4 linked regions of the Saccharomyces cerevisiae S288C genome follow. The gene in region 2 interacts genetically with the main gene of each other region. Each region holds a gene or a part of one and is shown on either strand. Other genes may lie near its edges. The genes, in order: PUN1, ATM1, IAI11 and GLK1.

Region 1 (3,883 bases), on a different chromosome or scaffold from region 2:
AGGACGAGGACGATAATGCCGAGTGCGAGCTCTTGTTTCTAGCCAGTGAATTTTTTTCTAGCTCAATATGGACCCTAGAATCATGAAAGTTTAGCCTGTTCAGCTTTGATCGTACTTTGGATGCATTAGGCAATCTGTGGCCGCAAATCTCGCAATTTCCTATTTGAGGATGATTAGCAAAAGTACAGGCGGGGCAAATGTTCTCAGAGTTCACTCCGAACTGATTCTGTGGGTTGGCGTTCGGGTCGATTGCATTAGAACAATTTATAGACGACTTGGTGAGCTCATAGTCCGCTGGCACACCGCAATTGATACAAATGGGTGTAGGTAGAGTGTCTTTAGTGAATTCCCCCTGCGTTTCGTTCGAAACCATACAGATGGGGCAGACCCACGTCGAAACAACGTCGGCACTTGCTGTTTCCGCACTTTTACCAAGTTCATCCTTACTGGAGGGGTCCTTGAAAAACAGGATCAGACGAGGTGATCTGGTCAAGAAGCCAGATGAATAGTTTACATACGCTAGATCGTCCAATTCCAACCCAAGCGAGTTCTGAGTGGGCTTTGCATCGTCGATGTAGATAATTCTTTGTGACGTTAAAAAGATTCTGCCCCTCTGTCGCTGTAGAATCTTAGATTTGCCATGGTAAAGACCTACGGACTGATCGATAAAGATATCTTTTTCACCTTCTCGAAGAAGAGGTTGGCCCGATGACGTAGTTTCCACATAATGCCAGTACTCCATCTTTTGAAAAAAAAAGAATGACTTTCAAAACACACTTCCTGATTCCTAGCCGAGGTCCCCTATTCTATCTTGGATGACCTTTTCTCTGCTTTTTTGTTTTTCAGTCTCCATCTTTTCCAGATGAAACATGTGAAACCCTTTTTCCTCTTCGTTGATCCTAAAAAAAGCGCGTCTGGAAAACAAGGCGAAGCTTCCTCACATGGAAAAGGCTTCTTAATATGTCGCTACGCCTCATTCCCATTGCATACAGAAAGCAAAGTAGTGCGTTTTGCGAACGTCACAGATCAAAAGTTTGGCCATGCATTGTCATTCTTTTTTTCTTACATACACTGCACCAGACATGTCGGTTCCGCCCCGCTAACGGTTAGTCAGCCACACATTGACGTACACTGTGAACAGCCTATTTCTTTCCATGTATCTCAGTGCCCAGCTTATGAGAACTGTCACAGCCTCCCACTTGACCCTCAGAGCCCTCTCCACTCCCCCCCTCTTTCAACATCGCCAGATAGCCGCCGTTGAATGGTGCGGGACAACCCGGCCTGGCCTGGCCAGGCAAAAAAGGACGCAGCACGCCTCGAGCGTTATTTCCAAATCGGGCGTACTATCAGCCAAGCCCAGCTCGGTATTTTTAGCGCTTCTCGCAGGAAAATTGGCTGAGAAGTATATATACGCGAGAATGTTGCTCTTCCATGTCTCAGTAGTCAATGAGTGTCCAGTGGTGTTTCATTCTGGACCAGTTGTTTGGAAGTAGAACTAAAAGAAACTAGATCAAGATCATACAACGCTGCGCAGTAGTGAAACTTGATTAAAGCAATAGAGAACTATTAAGAAAAAAACAAACACATCATCGAAGGACGCTATAAGCATGAGGAATTTTTTCACGTTATTTTTTGCAGCTATATTTTCGCTAGGAGCACTTATATTAGCCATTGTTGCATGCGCAGGATCAACGAAAAATTACAGTCCCATAAATAAAATTTACTGTGCAGAATTGGATCTGTCGCAGATGAAGGTATCGACGGTGCTCCCTTCTTTGAGTTCTGCTACGCTATCTTCGTTGGGCCTGCCCTCATATATAAATATAGGGCTTTGGTCGTACTGTACAGTGGACTCCTCGCATAACATCCAATCATGTTCTTCGCCTCACGGTATCCAGAATTTTAACCTATCGTCATTAGTGTATGACAATATCAACAACAATGAGGCTCTGGAGCTTATGGATTCCGTGGCCAGTGTTGTTTTGCCCGAAAAACTAAAAAGTAAAATGACATACTACAACAATTTGGTCAAGTGTATGTTCATTACCATTCTTATTGGTATTGTCTTGACCTTTGTGAATCTAGTGTTCAACGTATTGCGCTGGATCATCCACATAAGGCCGCTAACGTGGTTTGGTGCCTTTTTTTCATTTTTCGCCTTTGCCGCCCTATTAGTCAGTATAGGTTCGTGTTTGGGCACTTACTCATACATCAAATACATCCTAAAGCATAACTATAGTGATTACGGTATTTCAATGAGCATTGGTAGGAACTACCAGGGTTTGATGTGGGGGGCTGTCGTTGGAGCATTACTGAATTTCATTCTATGGTGTAGCGTGAGATCGAGGCCCACCGTCATCTATGCGAACGCTCCAATTGAGGAAAAACCATTGATTTGAATTTGAAAAAGGCAAGGTTATTAATTAATTTTTGTGTTCCGTTTCATATTAAATATGATTAAAATATATTGTCTATATACAATTCAGAAAATTATAATGAAGAAAATTAAAAGGATGGAGAATTGAAAAAATTTACGGGGTGATGTTGCATGATCTTCTTTTTATTATTTTACCTTGCAAAGTTTTTTTCAGCATCAATGGGGCTTTCGTGTTCTTCAATGATTCTTGAGGTAGTAGAGTCACTTTCTTGAACAGCTTTCTCAGCTTCCACGATGGCAGCTCCCTTTCTGCTGCTCCACCAGCAGTATGCAATGCAGAGAAATACAAGGACGGCAAATACAAATCCAGACCACATTAGGCCATAAAATGGAGAAGAGCCAGAAATAATGACATCGTAATTGTCCTTCTTGGAGCCGGATTTCATCATATTAAGGATGACGCTAAAGATTGTGCTTCCCAACCCGCTGAAAATACATATCCAACAGGAAATAAAGCCCAATGCCAACCATAATTTTTGACTCACCACGGAACGTCTACTTAGTAGCAACAAGAATACCATTAAGAAGAAGGATGTGATTATGCACATTAAGTTCATAGCTAAAGCTGCTTTCACTGCTGGGACATACATGTGTTGTCTGTCTTGTAATTCACCATCTAAATGCAAATCGTCCTTACCGATGTTCAGGGCATCCATATAAGGTTTAAAGTCCGAGCCTTCAATGTTGTTGTAAACAATCGACCGGAAATCCATGTTTTGAACAGCGTGTGACTTGCTACACGAGTACATTGTTCTGTTTAAGTGAGCACGACACATTGTGAAAATGGACAAACGGTATATGACAGGGATGTGTAGATATTCAAGGATAGAAGGAGTCATTTCCTTGAGTTGTTCTGGTGTGATAGTTGTCATGTTTACAGCAGAGTTTAAAATTTTCAACATGGGCATAAATGTAGCGGCATTAGTTTCTGCCCATTTGGTGATATTAACCAGAGAAGAGAAACTTGACACGGGGTCGCTTGACGCAGCTAATAGGCTGAACAAGTATGGAACGTACTTAAGTAATACGGTGTTATTGGCCAATTGGGATTCCAAAGTAGGGATTATGGAAACAACTGTGGATGCGTTAGCACTTGCAGAAAGGATTTCATCAAGTGCCACCAATTGGTTAGTAGAGGAAGCGGCTTCTTTAGAGAGGGCCAAACTTTCGACAGATGTTAGCAGCTCTGTTTGGTTTGTAGTGTAATTCAACAAGTCAGTCAAAGCACCCATGGCAGCTTTAGCGGAAGATGATTGGGTAATGTTTTCGGCAATCATAGTGCTCAATACGGATAATGTTACATTTTGAGATGTAGTTTCATCAAACAGAGTAACAACAGCTTGGACAGCTGGTTTTAAACTCGAAGGAACGAGGGAGCCTAATTGCATAATAGTTTCAGTAGCATTGCCACCTTCCGCAAGACTGGTTTTTAGACTAGAAAACAAT
Region 2 (5,505 bases):
ATAATGCAAAACCGGCAAGTAAACCAACGCAAGCATAACCGCCACGGCATAAACGGTAAACACCTTCTAACGCGTGGAAAACATCTTCATTGTTAACTCTGTACTTGTTATGTTTTTCCAGTTCAGCAGCAAAAATATTCAATAGTAACTCCGAATCACTGTCCGTGTTAATATGTCTATGAACGTCTTCATCCATATATCTCTTCAATGATGCAGTATTCACCAAGTTACCGTTATGTGCCAAGTTAATACCGTAAGGACTATTGACGTAAAATGGTTGCGCTTCTGAATTAGCCGAAGACCCGGCTGTAGGATATCTCAAGTGGGCAATACCCATGGAACCAGCAAGACCGGAAACACGTTGTTGGGTAAATACGTCACGAGCCATACCATTACCTTTACATTGGTAGATTCTACCACGAGAACCACAGGTAGCTATACCAGCTGCATCTTGTCCACGATGTTGTAGAAAAATGCATCCATCACATAACTCCGGAGCTACTGGAGTGGTTTGGTTTGCTAATACAATACCTAAAATACCACACATTTTTTCTATTCTGCTGTTTGCTGTACCTCTTTCTTTGCTAAACTTATTAGAACGAAATCTACTACTTTCAAGACGATGTCTTCGCAACTATGACTTAAAAGTGAATAAAATTGTACGGTGGCTGTTGAAATTTTTCTAAAATGAAAAAAAAAAAAACGAAGGACTTTACCTTGACTTAATAATAAGAATCTGAAAAGTACAAACCTATTATTGAAATTGTAAGTAAGCAAACTTTAAATACACCGAAGCTCTGACATTTGCCGCATGAGCAGTCATTCGGATTCATGATCCCAGATTATATTTTATTATTCATGTTCGTTCTAACTCTGTCCTGTTATTTTCGGTCAGGAAGAGTCAATACATCGGGTCATTGAAAAACCGCGGAGAAAGATAATAACTTTTCTTTTTTCCTTAAATCTTGAAAAACTTATACATGTATAAATCAATATTTACTTACGAGCGTTCATAGTTCTTGCTGGTCTTTTAGTTCATTCTCTAAATGATCCAGATCTTCTTGTATGGTCCAAAGTTCGCGGTACAATGACCCTGGCATAGCCAACAGTTCAAGATGCTTACCTTCCTCTCTTACTCTTCCGTTGTCAAGGACTATGATCTTGTCTGCATCTGCAATTGTCCTCAGTCTATGTGCGATGTATACACTCGTTCTCGAACCCGAAGTAAAGTTATCTCTAATGGTTCGTAAGAGAGCTTGTTCTGTGTGTGTGTCCAAGGCGCTTGTGGCCTCGTCAAAAAACATGATCCTTGCATTCTTCAATAGTACCCTTGCAATTGCCAGCCTTTGCTTTTCACCACCGCTGATCATCAACCCTCGCTCCCCGACGATGGTGTCAAAACCTTGTGGTAATTTCTTGATTAAGGGTGCTAGCTGGGCTTTTTCAACTACAGTTATCACTTCCTCGTCGGTTGCGTCAATACGACCGAACTTTACATTTTCCCAGATAGTGTCATTGAAAAGTGGTGTGTCCTGTGGTACCACACCAATCACCTTCCTCAAGGCATCGATGTCATATTCTTTAATATCTCTACCGTTTATGAGGATCCTTCCGCTTTCAGGATCATAAAATCTAAAGACTAATTTTAAAATGGTGGACTTCCCACTGCCCGAAGACCCAACTATTGCGGTTTTCCAGCCTGCTGGGATGGTAAAGCTGGCATTCTTTAAAATTTTCCTATCGGGATGATATCCAAACGTGACGTTCTCAAAAGTAATATCGTAGGGAACATTTTCTGGAAGCATTAAGGGACGTTCGGCATTTTTAATCTTGACTTCATTTTTTCTTAACTTAAATAGCGTTTCCATATCAATCAGAGACTGCTTTAAATCTCTGTAAACACTACCAAGAAAATTTAGCGGTACTGATAGTTGAAAAACCAACTGATTAATTAGAACCAAGTCACCAACTGTCAAGTTGCCACCAATAACGCCGGTGCAACCCATATACATCATTGCAGTTAGGGCAGTAGTAAAAATTAGATTTTGGCCGGAGTTCAAAAATGCTAGAGATTGCGATACTTTAATTTGAGAGTCACGATAGTTCATCAAGGAGCCATTATACTTATCTGCAAGATATTTTTCATTGTTGAAGTATTTTACCGCCTCAAAATTAATTAAAGAATCTAAAGCCACACTGGCAGCTTTGTTATCGGCCTTGTTAGCATCCCTTCTAAAATGTGTCCTCCATGCGGTCGTCTTTATAGTGAAAATGGAGTATAAAAGCATTGTACTGAATGTTATTGCGGCAAATGACGCACCGAATTGATACGTCAAAATCCCACAAACGACAGATATTTCAAAACTTATAGGGATAATGTGGAATACCATGGCCGTTAACACTTGAGATATACCCTTTGTACCTCTATCCATGGCCCTCGTCAGACCACCCGTTTGTCTACTCAAGTGCCATCCCAAATCTAACTTCATAAGGTGCTGGAAAGTTTGTAGCGACACAGTTCTAATGGCATTCTGTGCCACTTTGGCAAATACGGCGTTCCTCAGTTCGCCGAATAAAACAGAGCCGAACCTTGCAACACCATAGCAAAGAATGGTTAATCCAATCGCTGCCGGAAGGGCGACTGTAGGATCATCCCATGCTATATTCATTGAATCAATAGTTTGCTTGAAAAAAAAAGGTACTTGAACATTTAAAATTTTGGCGGATATCAACAGTCCAAGGGCAATCAGTACCCTTATCCTCACTTTATTGTTGCCTTTGGGCCAAATATAGCGAAATAGATCTTTCAAGATTTTCAGTTCCGAGAGGGTTGGGGCCTTGCTGGTCTTTTTTACCTGAGTCTTCACTTTTGGAGCCGACGAGAATTGCTCGACGGATTTTTTGTGCGTAATATCCTTTTGTGCTTGATTCCATAAATTCACAGCTGAATTGAATAACAGAGGCCGCTGGGTTGATAACTTAGACACAGTAAATATAACGGGCGAATGGTTCCGGATTAGACCAGATCTAAATTTTGATCTTACAATTCGCCCAATTACAGGACATCTTGGAAGAAGCAGCATTTGCAGGTTGGAGTGGAATCTATCAACAACGATATACTTACGTTGCTCTGTCGCAATTTTCGAAATTGTACTCTTTGCTGTGCTGATTGCTTTGTTTGCGATTATTAATGTAGAAAGTCATCGGAAAGCCCTCGCGCTCTTTCCCAGTGAAATTTCACGTGATGTAATCTGATGAAGGGCACGTATAGGTCAGTGACCTTTGCTGTGCAAATTGGGTAAGGTAATTTCTTTTAAAGACTTTAAGAATGGTAAAGTGAGGTACAACAACATATTATAAGACTTACTTGGTATGTACCTTACCTTCCTTAGATATTTTTCATGCTGCGTAGAAAATTGCACCATCTCCAATCGTCACTTTTATACATTTTCAAAAGAATATAGATGAGTATAGCAATATAGGGTTTACACATATGTACAGAAAAGCAGAATAGTAAGTTTTGTTTCATCACTTAGATAGGTTTTTAATTTCTTCTTCACATTTGGTAATGACTGCATTACTGGCATTGATTTTACCGGATAAATAGTCCAATCTGGTCTTGAAAAGTTTCTGATCAGGAACTTTCCCCAAAGGTTTTAATTCTTCTTCCCATTTCTTGATTCTACCAGTTTCAAAACCCACAACCTTTAATAAGTAACGGGTTTTTAGCACTTTTGCGAGTTCAGGATCGTTGATCAAGTATGTGAATGCTGCCCTGTATAGCGGTTTGGCAGGCCTGATTTCCTGTAAAACACCCCTATCTCTAGATACAGTTATTAAACCATTATTCTCCAATTCCATGATTCCCGTTTCTGGTGCGGCTTTGAATAATGGCTTGTTAACGATTTCATGGAATGGAATGACTGGGTTCGCACTCAATAATTCGATTAATTCCCAGGCTTGTGCACTTTTATTGCTGTCAATCTTGTCACTTAAAAACATTTGAGTTATTTGCTCAGAAGCCTGTTCAATCATTTTGTCTACTGCTTCCGAGGGCTCTTCTCCTGACTTTACCCTTCTTACAAATGCCTGTAAGTCTAACATCCTACCACCCAATGGCTCTAAAGAAGCGTCAATTTCCTGTAATTCCTTTTCATTTAAAATAACCTCAGCTTTTTTGACACTCGTATCGGCCTCACTATCAGAATCATTATTTTCAGCAGTTTCCTTTTCTGATTCAGGTTCTTTTACGTTTTCACCCTTGGATTTTTTATTGTAATATAAGTAATCCTCCAATTGGGATAATACATAGTTCCTCGAATTCTCTTTTGAGGCATCTGATAGGATTAGGTTTTTGAAGACTTGATTGGGTAGTGATTCGCTCAATCTTTGGTTGGATGCAACGGTTTCCGTTAAGAAAATCACATGAGCAATATTCATTTGAACTAGCATAGCTGCCCAATCGGATAGTTCCTTATACACAAATCCATTTATTTCCGACTTGCCCTCAAACCTATCTATGACGATAACGGGTTTAGCTTCCGGATGTTGCTGTAGGTAATCTTCTTCCTTAACATTAACTGTCCCATCACCGGTGGAAACAAAAGCCTTGTAATTCTTGAGAGCAATACGTCTAATGGACATCAATGAGGTAGTTAACATGTTTCTAAACCGAGATTCCTTCGTCTCAGACAACCCAGTTTTTTGCCCTGTTAATCCTTGCACTGTTAAATCAAGGACACCTGTGACAGAGTCAATCCATGGGAATATTGGGAAATAACCCAATTGACTAGCGGCATTTTTTAAAAACATAGGATCTGTTCTGGACTTAATCAATTTATCACAATCCAAATACAAAACATTTGCTCTATTTTGCAAAGTGTGTTGCATGACCAAATCATGTTTCCCTGAACCTCTAGGCCCCCTTATAACCACAAAAGTATTATTATTTTCTTCAAGCCACATTTTCAGGTCATTCACTTTCTCTATTCTTTCCTCCCATAAATGCTTTCTTTGGTGATTATCATCAGGGCCGCCCCAGTAGTACTTGATAGAAGTCATGGTAGATGAGGTTAGCGTTTTCAGTTGTTTCCAAAACTTATTGTCCCACGATAAAGAATATTTGTGAGTGATCTTCTGTTCAATCGAAAATTCTCTTATAGGATCAAACACTAAAACAGCAAAGATTGAAAGTAGCGCAAATAAAACTGGAATAGCAATCCTTGTATGGTTGGTGAAAAAATTACTAACTAGATGGCCTCTTCTGATATTTTCGTATTGTATGTGTAAGACGGTATTATGAATTTCGATACCGGAAACACAATTCTTGGCAGAAATGGCACCACGGAATGAACGGTATCTTACCTTTGCCACATTGTTGTTAGCAGCAGTGGGAGGGAAAATATCAATAATTGTCCCATATCTTCTGAATAAAGAGTATATTTCTTCTTCTGTTAAGGCGGGCCCTTGGAACTTGATGACTATAGTGGTACTTGGTAGTCTTCT
Region 3 (4,129 bases), on a different chromosome or scaffold from region 2:
AGTCCTTTGCCGTCGTCACTATTAGAAACGCTTTTCAATTTATCGAAAAGTATATATTTCATTGCAGAAGCGCAAAATATCGACCGGATACTAGAGTGCTTGAGCATAGAATGGATAGCTTGCCACCCGAACACACATTGGAAGTCAGGCTATAAGTCATGTCATATAGTCTTATTTTCCCTGTTGATCCTTAATTCGGATTTGCACAACAACTTTCAAGTTGACCATAAAAAGATTAAGTTTTCCATGGTTGCATTTATCAACAATACACTGAGGGCACTAAGAGAGGAAAATGAATACGAAGAATTGAAAATATACTCCCGCGAACATTTGATCATCGAAGAACTTTCCGAATACTATAAAACGTTAAATGAAACGCCTTTACCGTTATGCACAGAATCTAGAACATCAATAAATATATCAGATAACCAATCTTCCTTGAAAAGGTTCTCTACTCTAGGATCACGGGAATTTAGTACATCAAATTTACGTAGTGTTAACTCTAATTCTACTACACTATATTCAAGAGATGGTCAAGTATCTGTACGAGAAATGAGCGCAAAATCAAATAAAAACTTTCACAATAATCACCCCATGGATGCACTCTACCTTAAAGAGTCTTTTGATGACGGTTTAATTACCGAAAACGGCTCCAGTTGGTTCATGGACGATTTAATTCTTATAAGCAAGAAATCTTTACCACGTAAATATTCTAAAAGAGACAAAGATCAAGTGGCGGCACCAAAAATGACCTCTAAGAGAAACAAATCGTTCTTCGGATGGCTAAAACCATCTAAAACGACTACACTTATTGAGCACACATCTAGAAGGACTTCTTTATCGTATTTGAATAAGGATTCTGAATGGGAGAGGGTGAAAATACAGGTCAAGGAGGGCAGAATTTTTATTTTCAAAATTAAACCAGATGTTAAGGATATCATCCAATCAAGTGAAACAGACAGTGCTACCATCGACTATTTCAAAGATATCAGTAGCTCTTATTTTGCTTACTCACTGCTTGAAGCTGAAGCACATGTCGTGCAAGATAATATAATTATAGGTAGTGGAGCAATGAAATCAAATGTGTGTAACAAAAACACCAAGAGGAAAAGTGGCAACTTTACCGTTAGTTTTCCAGAGAATATCAACGGACCAAAGCTTGTTCTGGAGTTCCAGACGAGAAGTGTTGAAGAAGCCCACAAGTTTATGGACTGTATCAACTTCTGGGCAGGTAGGATTTCTCCAGTTCCTTTAACACAATTCGAAGCCGTATCTAACGCAGAATATGGATGGAGTGACAAGATCTTGACAGAGCACGCTTCCCTCAATCTTAAAAATATTGTTGTAAGTGAATGGAAGCCACTATTGGGGCTAGAGCTACTATACGAAGATGCGAAAGATGTAGAGATGGTCGAACTAAAAGAAAGGCTAAAGGAATTGATGAACTTCACCAGACAGCTTGGTATATGGATAGATAAACATAACGAAATAAAGGATAAGCTGGTCGAAATTTGGAGCTTTGACGATAACTATTTTGAAGCAGTCATGAATAATTGGAATTCGAGATATTTGTATATGAATAATCAATATAAGAAACGACTGAGCTACTTGAAAGCTTTGCAAAAAGCCATGGGTTCTGTTCAGTTCTAAGTATATTTAAAGATATAAATATAAAGACTGCGCTGAAGAAATATAAACTTGAAAACTGTACTCTGCCTTTTATTTACAAGGGATATTGAGATGATTTGTGTGAATGAAGTAGCGACAGAAAAAAAGCTTTTATTTCGAGTTCGCATCATTGTCACTTTCCTGCTTTTTCTTGGCGTACTGTCTATCTAAGATAGTCTTTAATATAGCGTCCTCGCCATATTCTTCTTCCTCAATTTTCTTCCATCTCTTTTCTACATCAGCTCTCTTTATTCTACTTTCAATGACAGCACGTTTCTTGTTATTCAAACTTGCCTCCTTGAGACACTTGTTCAAAGCATCCTTTTCGTTGTTACAAAGGCCAAATATTCTCTTGTAATATTCCTTTTGATGGCATTTATCGAGTGCATTGATGAAGTCCAAACAGGCTAAAATGAAGAAGGGGAGAATACAATGTTAGTAAGTCGGAGCACAGAAAAAGGCAAATATATGAAGTAAAATCTGGATACTTACAATGAAAACGTTCAGCTTCTAACTGTGGATGCATGTTGTAGTACTTGTCTTATCTTGCTTTTGTTCAACTGCACTTGTAAATCAGTGAATGTTATTGGACGCGCAGCGATTTTTTAATAGGTCTTTCTCTATTAATGTAATATGCGAATTGAAACATAATGTAAACACAAGAAGAAAATTCGAAATAAAGGACTGGCCAACAATAATGTTAGTGAGCAGAAACGACAAGCCCAAAATCAGTAGTGAGGAAGTCACACATTTTATAGACGACTATAAAAAGAGGAGGAAAACTCAGATGACACGATTCTTCGGAATCACTATTTTTACACTTATAACATGTAGAATTGCCATGAAGAAAATGATAACTGCAAAAGGTATGCATAGGCAATAACTTCGGCCTCATACTCAAAGAACACGTTTACTAACATAACTTATTTACATAGTGCCATTGAACACTTTTCAAGCAAACTACGCCAGCCGGACGCAGACAATAACACACACACAAAAGAGTCTTGCAGGTTCTCTTTTAGCGGCAACGGGCATGACACTAGGTATATTTGGTATGGGCATCACAGGGACATGTTGGAGCTGGGATGTTTCATCATTTCAGGAACTAAAGCAACGTCTGGAAAGGCGTGCCAACAACGAATTTGTAGTGACAAACATGCCTCTGGATAAAAGAAGCCAGCAAGTAGTGGACAGCTTAGTTAAGACACACAATTCATCTCTTTGTAAATAGTGTTATACCATAGTAGTAGTTTCAATAATATATTCCACTACTTATATGTGTTACCCGCATTAGAACTCTTATTGGTGGCGAAAATCGATGGCAATAAAGAACGGAAGGGGTTTAATAGTTGTATGCTTAACATATTTCGATTTAAATATATAAGAAACGTCGGTAGCACAACAATTAACTCATTATTTAGGTATGGCGGAAATACCTGATGAAACCATCCAGCAGTTCATGGCATTGACCAATGTGTCGCATAACATAGCCGTTCAATATCTCTCTGAATTTGGAGATTTAAATGAAGCACTAAATTCCTATTATGCTTCTCAAACGGATGACCAAAAGGATAGAAGAGAGGAAGCACATTGGAACAGACAGCAGGAGAAGGCCCTCAAGCAAGAAGCCTTCTCCACCAACTCTTCGAATAAAGCCATAAATACGGAGCACGTTGGTGGGTTATGTCCAAAACCAGGATCCTCACAAGGTAGCAACGAGTACTTGAAAAGGAAAGGTTCTACCTCTCCTGAACCAACCAAGGGTAGTAGCCGCTCTGGAAGTGGTAACAACTCCAGGTTTATGAGCTTTTCGGATATGGTAAGAGGTCAAGCTGATGATGACGATGAAGATCAACCGAGAAATACTTTTGCTGGTGGTGAAACATCCGGCTTAGAGGTTACAGATCCTTCAGATCCTAATTCATTACTGAAGGATTTGCTGGAAAAAGCGAGAAGGGGTGGTCAAATGGGCGCTGAAAACGGATTCCGTGATGACGAAGACCATGAAATGGGTGCCAATAGGTTTACTGGAAGAGGTTTTAGATTAGGGTCAACCATCGACGCAGCAGATGAAGTCGTAGAAGACAACACTTCACAATCACAACGTAGACCAGAAAAAGTCACAAGAGAAATTACATTTTGGAAGGAAGGTTTTCAAGTGGCCGATGGTCCGCTTTATCGCTATGATGATCCTGCGAACAGTTTCTATTTGAGCGAGTTAAATCAAGGGAGGGCTCCATTAAAGCTCTTAGATGTGCAATTTGGACAAGAAGTTGAAGTTAATGTATATAAAAAATTAGATGAGTCTTATAAAGCTCCGACGAGAAAACTGGGCGGTTTTTCAGGCCAGGGCCAAAGACTAGGATCTCCTATCCCGGGTGAATCGTCACCTGCGGAGGTTCCAAAGAATGAGACACCCGCTGCTCAGGAACAACCCATGCCGGACAATGAGCCAAAACAA
Region 4 (4,854 bases), on a different chromosome or scaffold from region 2:
CATCGTTTTCAGTGTGGTCTAGTTTAGCAATCAAAACGTCGGATGTGGCGTTGGCGTAGGTATCAGCTAGTTCTTGGTAAGTTGGGGCCAATCTCTTACAGTGACCACACCATGGGGCATAGTACAAAACAAGAACGTCCTTCTTTGGGTCGTTGACGATTTCGTCATGGTTCTTACCGACCAATTGGAAGACAGAGGAATCTTGGTTCTCGAAGATCTCTTGGGACTTCACGATTGGGGAGGCATCACCTTTCAAGAAGTCCTTAACCAAAGATTCAATAGCCTTAGACTCCAACACGATCTTGTCGCTCAATTCGTCAAACGCCTCTTCAGAGAGTTGAGGCAAACCGTACTTCAAGTCTTCAGTCATGTCGTGGATGGCAAATAGAGGGAATTGTTCCTTCATGTTCAAGTTGCCGGCGTGTCTGCCGAATTTTCTGGCATCGATGCTAACAAAGTTCATTAGACCTCTGTTCTTTTTGGCCAACTCGGTAAAGAGAGGCTTGTATTCTTCCAATTCTTCCTCGTCATTGTAGAATAAGTAACCCAAAGGCAAACCGCTTTCGACGTATTGGGCGAAAACGGAACCGTCGATTTCACCAAAGTAGGGCAAGGCTTCCACTTGCAACCATTTTTCAAAAACATCAGCGTCAGCGATATCGGCTTTCTTACCGTTGTATACTACAGGCTCGTCCATGGCGGAGGGCAAGTAAATAGAAAGCTTGAAATCATCGTCTGCGTTTTCAGCGGAGACAAAGTCGTAGTCGTTGAAGTGTTTGTTGGCCATGGAGTAAAAGGTGGCGTTGAAGTCGGCGTCAATCTTACCGGATTGGACGATAACTGGAGTGACAAAAGTCTCGTTAGCAAGGTAAGCTGGTAGATCAGCAACAACGGCGACAGCCGGTTGGCTTTGCTTGATCATGAATTGGACAATGGCCTCGGCAGTTCTAGGTCCCTCGTAATCGATCGAGTTGTTAACATCGCTGTTTTTGAAAATCTTCAAGCTTGGGAACCCTGGAATGTTGTGTTCCATACACAGATCCTGGTTTTCAGTACAGTCGATCTGGGCCAAGGTAATGTTTTTCTCAACTAAAGTCTCGGCGGCTTTAACGTATTCAGGAGCCATGTTCTTACAGTGGCCACACCATGGAGCAAAAAACTCCGCAAGCACCAAGTCGTGCGACTGAATGTACTCATTGAAGGAGTCGGTGGCCAACTTAACGACAGCGGAGTCTTCAGGGGCCACAGCCTCTTGTTGGGCGAAAACAGAGGAGGCGAGCAGCAGGGAGGACCATGACAGGACGGCACCAGCAGAAAACTTCATAACGGGATAGATGTATGTTTTTCTTTATGTAGAGCTTGGCAGCTTTAAAATTACCAATTAGACATGCTGCTTGCAACAAGAAAATGCACGCGTAACAAAATATATATATATATATATATATATATGTATGTCCATACGGGTTTTTCGTTTTGTTGTGGTTGTAACAGCACAACAAAATGCTACACGGTGGCAAATTGGAAAAAGAGACTAGTGAGAGAAAAGGGAAAAAGAGGCGCCGCCCGACAGGGTAACATATTATCACGTGCAGCCCAGGATAATTTTCAGGACACGTGTTTCGAAAGGTTTGTCGCTCCGAAAAAATCAAAAAAAACAAAAAACGGGAAATAACAATAACGACAAAAATGGAAAAAAAAAAAATTTTAGACGCGGCGCTTGCACCCCGCATTATAAGTGGTGTGCCGACGGACGGTCAACCCCTTTCAGGGGGCCCCCTATCTTGGGCGTGGTGTCACACCACGCTCAAACGGTGGGCACTAATGAAAACGCGCCCATATAAATATCCGCTATCAACAGAACCCCCAACCCCCCCATCAGTGCCCAACTCAGCTTCCGTAAACCACAACACCACCACTAATACAACTCTATCATACACAAGATGTCATTCGACGACTTACACAAAGCCACTGAGAGAGCGGTCATCCAGGCCGTGGACCAGATCTGCGACGATTTCGAGGTTACCCCCGAGAAGCTGGACGAATTAACTGCTTACTTCATCGAACAAATGGAAAAAGGTCTAGCTCCACCAAAGGAAGGCCACACATTGGCCTCGGACAAAGGTCTTCCTATGATTCCGGCGTTCGTCACCGGGTCACCCAACGGGACGGAGCGCGGTGTTTTACTAGCCGCCGACCTGGGTGGTACCAATTTCCGTATATGTTCTGTTAACTTGCATGGAGATCATACTTTCTCCATGGAGCAAATGAAGTCCAAGATTCCCGATGATTTGCTAGACGATGAGAACGTCACATCTGACGACCTGTTTGGGTTTCTAGCACGTCGTACACTGGCCTTTATGAAGAAGTATCACCCGGACGAGTTGGCCAAGGGTAAAGACGCCAAGCCCATGAAACTGGGGTTCACTTTCTCATACCCTGTAGACCAGACCTCTCTAAACTCCGGGACATTGATCCGTTGGACCAAGGGTTTCCGCATCGCGGACACCGTCGGAAAGGATGTCGTGCAATTGTACCAGGAGCAATTAAGCGCTCAGGGTATGCCTATGATCAAGGTTGTTGCATTAACCAACGACACCGTCGGAACGTACCTATCGCATTGCTACACGTCCGATAACACGGACTCAATGACGTCCGGAGAAATCTCGGAGCCGGTCATCGGATGTATTTTCGGTACCGGTACCAATGGGTGCTATATGGAGGAGATCAACAAGATCACGAAGTTGCCACAGGAGTTGCGTGACAAGTTGATAAAGGAGGGTAAGACACACATGATCATCAATGTCGAATGGGGGTCCTTCGATAATGAGCTCAAGCACTTGCCTACTACTAAGTATGACGTCGTAATTGACCAGAAACTGTCAACGAACCCGGGATTTCACTTGTTTGAAAAACGTGTCTCAGGGATGTTCTTGGGTGAGGTGTTGCGTAACATTTTAGTGGACTTGCACTCGCAAGGCTTGCTTTTGCAACAGTACAGGTCCAAGGAACAACTTCCTCGCCACTTGACTACACCTTTCCAGTTGTCATCCGAAGTGCTGTCGCATATTGAAATTGACGACTCGACAGGTCTACGTGAAACAGAGTTGTCATTATTACAGAGTCTCAGACTGCCCACCACTCCAACAGAGCGTGTTCAAATTCAAAAATTGGTGCGCGCGATTTCTAGGAGATCTGCGTATTTAGCCGCCGTGCCGCTTGCCGCGATATTGATCAAGACAAATGCTTTGAACAAGAGATATCATGGTGAAGTCGAGATCGGTTGTGATGGTTCCGTTGTGGAATACTACCCCGGTTTCAGATCTATGCTGAGACACGCCTTAGCCTTGTCACCCTTGGGTGCCGAGGGTGAGAGGAAGGTGCACTTGAAGATTGCCAAGGATGGTTCCGGAGTGGGTGCCGCCTTGTGTGCGCTTGTAGCATGATCTTTTTACATTTTTTTGGTTTGTGTACGTATCCCACCGTACTTACCATCTTCTCTCCTTTATATATATATATATATATGTATATTTTCAGTGTATATACATACATTCTTATACAATACCGTATAAGAACGTATGTATGTATGTATGATTTTCTCACATTAATGAACAATATCATCGGAAACGGGCCTTTGGTTTTTAAGGGAAAATGAAGAACAATAAATGCCTTGCTAGGTCTTCCTTTATCATTTTTGGAAGTCAAATATGAAAAACACTTCCAAGGGGGCGTACTACTTCAACTAATAAAATGTCACACACTAATAAGATCGCATACGTGTTGAACAATGACACGGAGGAAACAGCCTCGCCCTCTTCCGTTGGTTGTTTTGACAAGAAACAGCTCACTAAATTACTGATACATACTCTAAAGGAGCTGGGCTACGACTCCGCCGCTAACCAGTTACTGCTAGAGAGCGGCGGATATCAAAATGAGTCTAACCACATCCAGACTTTCTTCAAACTCATCAAGACCGGCCAATTCCATCTTATTAATTGGCAGATTGTTTGCTCGCTGCCCCTTGCCCATAGCTCTCCGCTAAGGTCCGAATGGCTTCAAAGGCTGCTCATTCCCACGCCGACGCCCGCCACGACTTCACTTTTCGACCACATGCTCCTGCAACTGCAATACCTGCAACAGCTGATGAGCTCTGTAAATTCATCTACTTGTTCGGACGCAGAGATCGCCACGCTCAGAAATTACGTAGAGATCATGATTCTAGTTAATAGACAAATATTCCTCGAATTCTTCCATCCAGTCACAAATTCCGCCTCTCACAAGGGCCCTCACACTGCACTGCCCGTCCTGTATTTGCGCAAAATCCTCAAAAACTTCATCGAGATATGGGATTCCCTGCTGGTGTCTAACGATCAGTTCCTAAATGAAGAAAACATCTTCAATCCGGAAACGACCTTGAGAGAACTGTCGACGTACCTGACCAACCCAAAACTAACCGCGCAGTTGAACCTCGAGCGAGACCATCTGATTGACGCCATCTCCAAATATATCGATCCGAACGAACTCGTTCCCAAGGGTCGTCTCTTGCATCTCTTGAAACAGGCCATCAAGTATCAACAATCACAAGACATTTTTAATATCATCGATCCGGATGATGACGCCTCTTTCTCCTCTCCACCCCACCGGATCAACCTTTTGCAGGATAACTTCTCACACGATCTGACTGTGACCTTTCAAGAATGGAAGACTATCCAAGACACCACAGACGAAATTTGGTTTTTGACATTTTCGCCCAATGGCAAGTATTTGGCTTCTGCGACTTCCGAGTCTTCAAGAGGCTACTTCATTACTGTTTATGATGTGGAACAAGACTTCAAAATTTATAAGACTTGCGTGAGC

Evidence for each region.
Region 1: mutations in ATM1 (region 2) and PUN1 together harm fitness more than expected from each alone (negative genetic interaction), as found in Saccharomyces cerevisiae (one large-scale study listed by BioGRID).
Region 3: mutations in ATM1 (region 2) and IAI11 together harm fitness more than expected from each alone (negative genetic interaction), as found in Saccharomyces cerevisiae (one large-scale study listed by BioGRID).
Region 4: mutations in ATM1 (region 2) and GLK1 together harm fitness more than expected from each alone (negative genetic interaction), as found in Saccharomyces cerevisiae (one large-scale study listed by BioGRID).

What each region holds. Positions count from the first base shown.
Region 1 is NC_001144.5:951,869-955,751, reverse strand, and holds PUN1 (Pun1p), read left to right. Parts: upstream 1-1,607; coding exon 1,608-2,399; downstream 2,400-3,883. Other genes in the region: ESCRT-II subunit protein VPS36, read right to left, coding at 1-742; YLR415C (uncharacterized protein), read left to right, coding at 1,155-1,493; INA1 (Ina1p), read right to left, coding at 2,569-3,883. UniProt on the Saccharomyces cerevisiae protein: Contributes to the wild-type cellular response to nitrogen stress through signaling pathways that regulate the expression of genes involved in amino acid biosynthesis. Required for wild-type filamentous growth, cell growth, and cell-cell adhesion.
Region 2 is NC_001145.3:866,545-872,049, forward strand, and holds ATM1 (ATP-binding cassette Fe/S cluster precursor transporter ATM1), read right to left. Parts: upstream 3,084-5,505; coding exon 1,011-3,083; downstream 1-1,010. Other genes in the region: ADE4 (amidophosphoribosyltransferase), read right to left, coding at 1-547; YME2 (Yme2p), read right to left, coding at 3,529-5,505. UniProt on the Saccharomyces cerevisiae protein: Performs an essential function in the generation of cytoplasmic iron-sulfur proteins by mediating the ATP-dependent export of Fe/S cluster precursors synthesized by NFS1 and other mitochondrial proteins. Hydrolyzes ATP.
Region 3 is NC_001134.8:108,346-112,474, forward strand, and holds IAI11 (Iai11p), read left to right. Parts: upstream 1-2,248; coding exon 2,249-2,534; intron 2,535-2,603; coding exon 2,604-2,899; downstream 2,900-4,129. Other genes in the region: Arf family guanine nucleotide exchange factor YEL1, read left to right, coding at 1-1,650; CMC2 (Cmc2p), read right to left, coding at 1,780-2,075, 2,161-2,194; protein phosphatase regulator SHP1, read left to right, coding at 3,092-4,129.
Region 4 is NC_001135.5:48,898-53,751, forward strand, and holds GLK1 (glucokinase), read left to right. Parts: upstream 1-1,940; coding exon 1,941-3,443; downstream 3,444-4,854. Other genes in the region: protein disulfide isomerase PDI1, read right to left, coding at 1-1,324; YCL042W (uncharacterized protein), read left to right, coding at 1,687-2,046; glucose-induced degradation complex subunit GID7, read left to right, coding at 3,748-4,854. UniProt on the Saccharomyces cerevisiae protein: Two isoenzymes, hexokinase-1 and hexokinase-2, can phosphorylate keto- and aldohexoses in yeast, whereas a third isoenzyme, GLK, is specific for aldohexoses. All glucose phosphorylating enzymes are involved in glucose uptake.